2 linked regions of the Coturnix japonica genome follow. The main gene of each other region encodes a partner of the protein of the gene in region 2 in a complex. Links are inferred from orthologs where the notes say so. Each region holds a gene or a part of one and is shown on either strand. Other genes may lie near its edges.

What was found. The genes of interacting proteins can lie anywhere in the genome.
Region 1: the proteins of NFKB1 (region 2) and TXN are in contact, whole or in part, in an NMR structure (PDB 1MDI), measured with the Homo sapiens proteins. The link is inferred for Coturnix japonica from reciprocal best matches to the Homo sapiens genes NFKB1 and TXN. Residues at the interface, in NP_001158884.1 of Homo sapiens: Arg56, Phe57, Arg58, Tyr59, Val60, Cys61, Glu62, Gly63, Pro64; in NP_003320.2 of Homo sapiens: Thr30, Trp31, Cys32, Pro34, Met37, Ile38, Asp58, Val59, Asp60, Asp61, Gln63, Ala66, Ser67, Val71, Lys72, Pro75, Ser90, Gly91, Ala92.

What each region holds. Positions count from the first base shown.
Region 1 is NC_029547.1:59,052,536-59,056,794, reverse strand, and holds the start of TXN (thioredoxin), read left to right. Parts: upstream 1-1,424; 5' UTR 1,425-1,625; coding exon 1,626-1,649; intron 1,650-3,846; coding exon 3,847-3,951; intron 3,952-4,259. UniProt on the Homo sapiens protein: Participates in various redox reactions through the reversible oxidation of its active center dithiol to a disulfide and catalyzes dithiol-disulfide exchange reactions.
Region 2 is NC_029519.1:54,750,933-54,754,492, reverse strand, and holds part of NFKB1 (nuclear factor NF-kappa-B p105 subunit), read right to left. Parts: intron 2,940-3,560; coding exon 2,837-2,939; intron 1,973-2,836; coding exon 1,851-1,972; intron 1,022-1,850; coding exon 952-1,021; intron 626-951; coding exon 453-625; intron 321-452; coding exon 143-320; intron 1-142.

The DNA.
Region 1 (4,259 bases), on a different chromosome or scaffold from region 2:
ACCAAGGGGAGTGGGCAGCTGCAGAACCCTGTGAACATCACTCATGGGATGTGCATTGGGATGGCACACAGAGGTTGTGGTGGCCCAGGGATGGTCCTGCTTCCTGCCAGCTTCCTGGAAGCACAGGGCTGATTCCTGGAAAGTACAGTATGTGGCAGTGCTCTCCCCCTCCTTTCTGTCATTGTTCAATGGCTTCTCCTCCGTCTTTCAACCAGATGTGCTCTGCCAAGTGTTCAAGAGAGGCTGGGTGATTGGGTACGTCACCAGTGAGAGCAGAGCTCTGTGTGCACTGCGCATATGGCTGGCAGACACCCAGCACACCCATCTAATTATTAAATATTTATTGCACCTTTAATGGGTCAGTTACAACAGAAGAGTGCTCCCAAGGAGCAGGCTGCAAGGAACGGGAAAGCACCATTAAAGACTGTCAGGGCCAGATGAAATGCAGCGTGGTAATGCACTGCAGATAACCCGTCTCTCCTGCGATAAAACGTGGTGCAGCTGTTGCTGCAGGCAGTTCTTCCAGCAGCTTCCTCCCTTTGGCAGCTGTCTGCACCATTGCTTAATGCCGGACGTGCCCAGCCCTCTGTGACATGGCCAGGCTTGGATCTGCTGTGAAACTGGCCCTTCTGCTGCACTGTGTGATTCTCACTGTATCCTCTGGTCACAAAGTCCAGCGCCACTTAGACACTGTATAATGCCTTGGGAGAACTGCTGGCTGACGGGCCAGGACTGGAGGGTTGTATTAATGGGGTTACATGGCAGATTGTCACCAGTGGGGTCCTGCATTGGCTCCATTTAAGGTCCAGTCTCTTCAGTGGGTTATCGGGGAGCTGAGTGCACACTGATTGTCCTCTGATGGTGCTGAACTAGGGGAAGCCGTTGGTTCCCATGCAGGAACTGGATGATCTTTGGGGTCTCTTACAAGCCAAGGGGGCTGGGAATAAAAGGAAAAGGAAGATATGGAGCATGGGCAGACAGGGGACAGACACACGGACATGGGGACAGGCAGACACGTGGCACGGCCAGCACACAGCCCGTGTCGCAGCACATGGGTGCTGGAGGCAGAAAAAAAACCCAGTTTTAAAACGATTTTAAAACAGAATCGAGAAATAAAACAGGAGGAGTCCCCCCATACGGGTTCCCACCCCCTCCCCTCCTCCAGGGCAGGATCCTGCCCGCCACTTCCTGCTCGGCGTTACGCAGCACTTTTTCTTACAGTCACACGGTTGGTTTTTTTTTTCTTTCTTTTTTTTTTTTTTTTTTTTTTTTATTTCTTTTTTTCCCCCTATTTTCCCTCCTCTCCCCCCTCTCGCTGCTCCCCCCAACCCCCGCCCTGTGAAAGAACTATAACGGCCGCTCCCCTTCCCGCCTCGTGACGTCACCCGCGCCATGGGCGGGAAGGGGCGTGGCCCGGCGATGGGCTGAGCGCTCAGTGCGCATGCGCGATGCAGCGGTGGCTATATAAGGGCAGGCCCGGGGCGGCGGCGGCAGAGCGTTGGTTTGGCGTTGCGGAGTGAGGACCGGTATAGACACAGCCGAGAGCGCAGCGGCGTGCGGGACGCGCGTGCGCGGGGACGAGCCCGTTGTCCGCCTTGTGACCGTACAGCACAGTGAGAGCCGCCATGGTGAAGAGCGTGGGCAGCCTGGTGAGTGCATGGGGCGGCACGGTGGGGTGTGGGTGAGGGGGGCTTGGTGTCGGCGCCGGGCCTTGGGCCGCGCTCCTTTGTGTGCGCTGAGCCTGAGGCCGCTCCCCAATGGCGGCTGCGCTCCGGCCGCAGGGGGCACTGCGGGAGCGGGTTAAACTGCAACACGTCGCCCTGACCCTTGGCTGTCAGCTGATGGCCGCGATCACAGAATGACCCGGGTTGGGAGGGACCTCAAGGATCATGTAGTTCCAACCCCCCTGCCTGGCAGGGCCACCAAACATACGCCTTTACTAGATCAGGTTGCCGGATCAGCACGGCCCAAGGGCGGCTCGGTGGGTGTCAGACATCGTGCTTATAGCTGGGGTCTTGTATTAAGGCTGTCCCAGCTATGCTGAGGGCGGTGGATTTCTTACGGCGTTGGTTGGTGGCCTCCATTTTGGGTTGCTGGGAATCCCTGCTGCATTGAACCTCTCCTTGCCACCTGTTTTCTCGCAGCCGGCCCTTGGAAACTGAAATCTGCTAACATAATGCTGCCTGCTGCGCCCAGCAAAGTGAGGCCGAGGCCTCAGGGAGGCACCAGATGGGTATTTGAAAAGTGTTTATGGGCTTTTCCCCTCCAGAGGACTAAGGAAAATATTGCTGAAAAAGCTGTGAGATCCTCTAACAGCTGTAGCCACGTGGACTAACAGGGGGAGGTGTCCATTCTGATAATGGAGATATTTCTGTATGAATCTTATTAATCCATACTTACTGCAGAAAGACTAGAAGTCAGAAAGGTCAGCCAGTTTTCCTGCTGTATTCCTTACTTCAGGGATATTAATGTTTTCTGAGGAAAAAATACCAACACTTACCCCTTGCTGGGTATCTCAGGGGTAACACCGTTGGACCTCGTGTCTCTTCTCAGGCTGCCTGTAGCAATTTTAGCTAATTCTAGGGATGACTCACAGGGTAACGCCTGGCTGCAGCTGGAGAGCAGTGCTCAGATCTCCAGTGGTGTATGGGTTGTGATCTGCAGGAAGTGCCATGTCCTCCCACTTTGCCCTTGTTCTGTGCAATATTGCCCTGAGATGTGTGGTCATATGATCAGCGCGTCCCAGGGATGGCCTTCCTCATGCAGGGTACAGCAATCAGTCATTTGGACTGAGGAAAATAGTCCAATTGGTGGGTGCAGGAGGTAGAATTAATATTAATAAGGCTGTTACAGCACTAAGTTGTGAGAATATATGCCAGAAATCAGGGATTTGGAGGTGGGAGTGAGTGAGGCTCTATTTAACAGCCTTATGGTTTTAAGTAACCACTGGGAGCAGATAGCATGGACTACTGTGTATGTGAACGCTGAACTTTGCTGGAGGCAGTGTTGTGCTTTAGAGACTGGGATGCAGGAATACACCCCACATTAGCACAGTGGTGGAGAAGAAGAGAGAGAGGAAGAACTTCTTGCTGCCACCCTTGCCTGTGTGTTGGATCAGCATCCTCTGCTTGCTCTGCCTGAGATACTTGTTTGTTTTTTAGCATGCAAATATTTCTTTCCTTCAGTGCCTTACACTTCTGTTGAAACATTTGCTCTTTGAAAACAGCGGCACATAAGGAGCTCTGAAATGCAAAGCGTGATGTCCAGAAATGTCTCTTGTAACAAAGTGCAACAGAGATATCTCTGTTAACCTTAAATGTTAGTTGTTACTGGCATAGACTGTGTAGCTTTGCATTGAGTACTGGAGTTACACCCCAATTTACTTGGCATAATAAAATATTTATATGATGAAGCTGTTGCTCTAGGAAACATGCTGTAGGGTAAACCACGCAACATCTTGATTCTAACCATTGCTTGGGAAAGGTATCAGACCATGAAACTGTGGAAGTTTGTCCTCAGATTCTGAGGAATCCTAGAAGAAAATGGACGACATCCTATTAAATTGGAGATTAGAACTGAATGCTAAGGACCGTCAGGATCACGTTAGAAGTGTAACATTACTCAGTTTAGCTTACGGTCTCAGTTCATGCTGAGTTCTACATAAACTTCCACAGTTCAGTGACTGAGCATTGTGATGTTTCATAATTGATACTCATAATTCATCAGAAGACAGTGGGGGATGCAGTGCTGATGGAGCTAAGGGAAAGCTGACTTGGGGGTTAGTCTTGAACCTTTTGCAAATGAGGGGGGAAATCCTTAATGTTTTGATTTCTTTTTTCTTTACAGTCCGAATTTGAGGCAGAACTGAAAGCTGCTGGTGAGAAGCTTATAGTAGTTGATTTCTCTGCCACATGGTGTGGACCATGCAAAATGATCAAGCCATTTTTCCATGTAAGTAGCTTTTGTCTTTCACAGTAACTTTAAGTATATAGAAATACTTCTGTGCAACTTCTAATATGGTGGAAACCTTCTTTGTCTATGGTGTGTTTTCCTGAAGGAGGAATCTTAGAAGGATATGATAGGTAACTATTGAATAAAGCACTTGGATACACAGCGGGGAACTAACACACTGTAGCGTTTTGTCTGTCCTGGTGTGCTGATGCATCAGTCTGTAGGGACCTAGCTGGTGCATTTCCACAAGAACTGGCAACAGTGGAGTTGAAATAATGTATATATGCTGGCTCTGATTATTTAAACTG
Region 2 (3,560 bases):
GTAGGTAAGCAGCTCAGACACAACGTCTGAGGAACTCTGCTATCTATATCTGCTATATCTATCTGCTATTAGCAGTCCAAAGTGAGGAAGGAGAACTAAAAAATGTTTTAAAGGTGCTTGATGCTTGTGTTGTTAGTTTTACCTGTCTCTCCCTTCGCAAAATTGGCAAGCGATGATGAAGGAAAAGCTTCTATTGCATTGTCCTCCTGGTGAGACTGCCTCTGAGAGCTGGATAGTGCTTTCTGAATTACTTCAATAGCCTCTGTGTGATCCATCTGTCTCAAAGCAGCAATCAGCTCCTGAACTGTACCTCCAGAAATCTAAGAGAGAAGACAGCAGATGCTCAGCTTCATCCTGGCTCGCTAAAACCAAAGGGCTGTGCTGTATCACTGGGCAGGACAGCATTCACTGCACAGCTGCATGTTCTTAATAACTTGTTACAGCCACATTACCTTATAGTTATCTAGCAGAGTTTTTGAGGGTGAAGGGCTCAATCCGAAGGCATTATTAAGAATGCCAAGCCCCAGCTTTTCTGCTAGAGTAGCCCAGTTCTTGCTTGGATCAGGTGTTTCCAATAGCTTGTAAAGCTGCTGCTTGGAGCTTTCATTCAGCTCCCTCAGAGGGCCTGGGGAACAGAAAAATACATCTGTTATTTACTCAATCACACACCAGTTCATTTCTAAGCAGAAGCACAGACAAATTTAAAAGTATCTATTTTAGCATCTCTGGTACTTACTAATATATTGCTGTAATATTGGAAATGTACAAACTTGGGCCCTCGTGCCATGCTTCTGAACAGACTCATTCTAAGACCGCAGTGGTAGTGAGTGCCCCTTCTCCCTCCCCACCTCCCTCACAAGCTGCTGCAGTCACGTTCTTCTGCAAACATACTTTGGTGCTCTGCTGTTTGTTCCCAAGGGGATGTTGCCAGCTCATCTTTACAGACTTTACCTTGTGTCAGTAAGTCCTCCGAAACTGCTGCTGCTGCTATGTAGGGTTTGCCATTTAATATGTCATACACCTAAGAGAATATATTCAATTTAGTATTTCGCAAAACCTGGTTATTTGTCCATTATTTTGACAAGTTTTGGTGGTATTGTTTGTTGTACAGCACTAAATCTCTAAATGGGCATTTAAAAAAAAAAAAAAATTACAGAAAACCTGTGCATACCATGAGGGATAAACCTCAGTTCATCTCCCTTAAGCTCTGTCATCTGGCAGTTACTGCCAGGACACAGAAGCAGCCTGTGCAATAAGCGAGGGGCTGTAGCAGAAGTTAAGTGGGGAGTTAGCAGCTGTCTACAGCCAGTAATTTCAAGCAAAGCCTGGGCTAGATTTTCACCTTTTCAGTAGCACTCCCCAGCCGAGCTCCATTTGATCAGAGATGCCAGCTCCTTACATGCTCACATCATGCCAGCTGTGTGTACTTGGATACTGAAGCTCGAACCATGTAATCTAACCAATGTTTGGGTAAGACACAAAAGTCTACTTTCACTACATATCATCCAGTCTGCAGTTCTAAAGACCATGCAGCAGAGAAACTTATTACAGTGTCTCACCCTGACCTTGTAGACCCTGAACAAGCACCTTCAGGCACATGCTGCTCTGTCTGCTGTCCTCTTCCATATTGACAACCCCAATGCAACTACTTAGAAGAAATGCCTGTTCAATCCTGCTCAACAGAAGTCAGCTACTCTGAGGAGCTTTTTTCCAATACTACTTCACTGTTTCTTGTGGCTCAGTAAGTTTGTTTGTGATGCCAGTTTGGGTGCTGTAGAAATTTGTCACCATTTAAATAACTGGATGAAATTAAACGAATTGTCAGTACTAAAAGACAGCAGCCCACGTACCTCCCAGTTGGCTGCCATGTCCAGTGGTGTTGTTCCAGGTACAATCCCTTCATCATCATCATCTTTCACATCTTCTTCAACATCAAAGAGCGGCTCAAAGTTCTCAATGTGAGGATCTGCACCTGGAGAACAAGCGTGCAAGGCATTTCTAAGGAAAGGCTTTTAAGCTGTTTTACATCACGTTGTTGAAAAGCACGGTTTAAACAGCTACGTTAGAAGGTTTACAATTCAAGACTGAGAATACATATTTTAACTCCGAAAATGGTGTTTTTTTCCTAAATAAACTGAAGTGAAATGTCACAACATCCCCATGTATCATCCATTATACAGATGGGGAAGAAAAGACAAGCCGTGTGGTTAGGCCCAAAGAAAGCATCTGATGATATAAACTGACTTCCAGTTCCATTCTTGGCTCACACAGCATGTATGTGACGAAGCACTGGTGCAGGGCTTCCCTTTTGTAGTGTCAGAAAGCAGGAGTGCTATTAAAAGACCAAACACACAGCCAGAGCAGGGGGAGGCTTGGATTTCTGTCTCAATGGAGAAAATCCAGGTATTAAGGGATGAAACACAACTGAAAAAAGCATTGAAATGCACAATCAAAACCAAATTTACTGTCATGATTCAAAACTGCAGAGAAGTGGTCCCAGTTTCTATGCCTGTAAAGCAGTCCAGCCTTATCCCAACTATAAAACTGGGTCTTTTGTCTGCTTCATATTAAAAACTATCTGCAAGTACCCCAAACCTCCAAGATTGCTTGGAAGTATTTTTACTAACACAGTTTTGCTTTGCTTTTTGTAGCCATTAGATGGTGCTAAAGAGTAGCAGAGCCTCTGAAACTAGGACTTCCCAGAGGAGAAACAAACCTTTATGCTTTTAACATCTGGTATCTTTTGCTCATTATGAAGTTCACTGACTGTGTGCAACGCCTTCACCTGAACTGGCACAGTTAAAGAGAACCCTGCAACAAACACTTGACCCAATACCTGCTGCTTTGAGAACTGCTGCCAGCTTCGTAAAGCCCCTTCCAGCTGCTATGTGAAGAGGCGTTGTGCCGTCGTATGTAGTGCTGTCCACATCTGCATCACCCTAAGTATTGAAAGAGAAGAAAAATGCTATTATCTATACAGTACTGTTGCATAGAGACTTGTGTCTGCATGAACCTCACTGCTCTGCAAGCAGCACCATTCCGTGCCTGTTTGCACAAGAATTCCAATTGTCTGAAAAGAATGAATCGGAAAGTGACTACAACTGTTGGCACCAGTAACAGACAGTGGTTGTGCTCTGCAGTGCCACAGCAGGAGGCAGCTGAGTGAACCAGGTAGATACAGCTCAAAAGCCACTTTGCATCCCATAATACTAATCAGATAATAGTTCTATTATCAGATTACCCGCAGCATTTGCCGTGCACTGAGAGCTGCCTTCCTGCTGCCCTTCAGCAGAGCAGACGGGCCGGTAGCACAGCTGTACTCCATACCCAGGGGAGCTACTGCAGGTAGCTGTGGGTGTGCCCAATTAAGTGTGCTGAGATCAAGGTGTGAGAGATGAGACAAATATTTACAGATACACACAGCTATCTCTCTGCACATCTGCACACACATTCCACCGCACCCGATCAGCAACTTGTTCGGGAGTCGTTTCATTGGCTGCTGGGGTTACTCAGTGCAAATTAAGCACGGCGCAGGCAGTCAGGTCAGGGTCACCAACTAT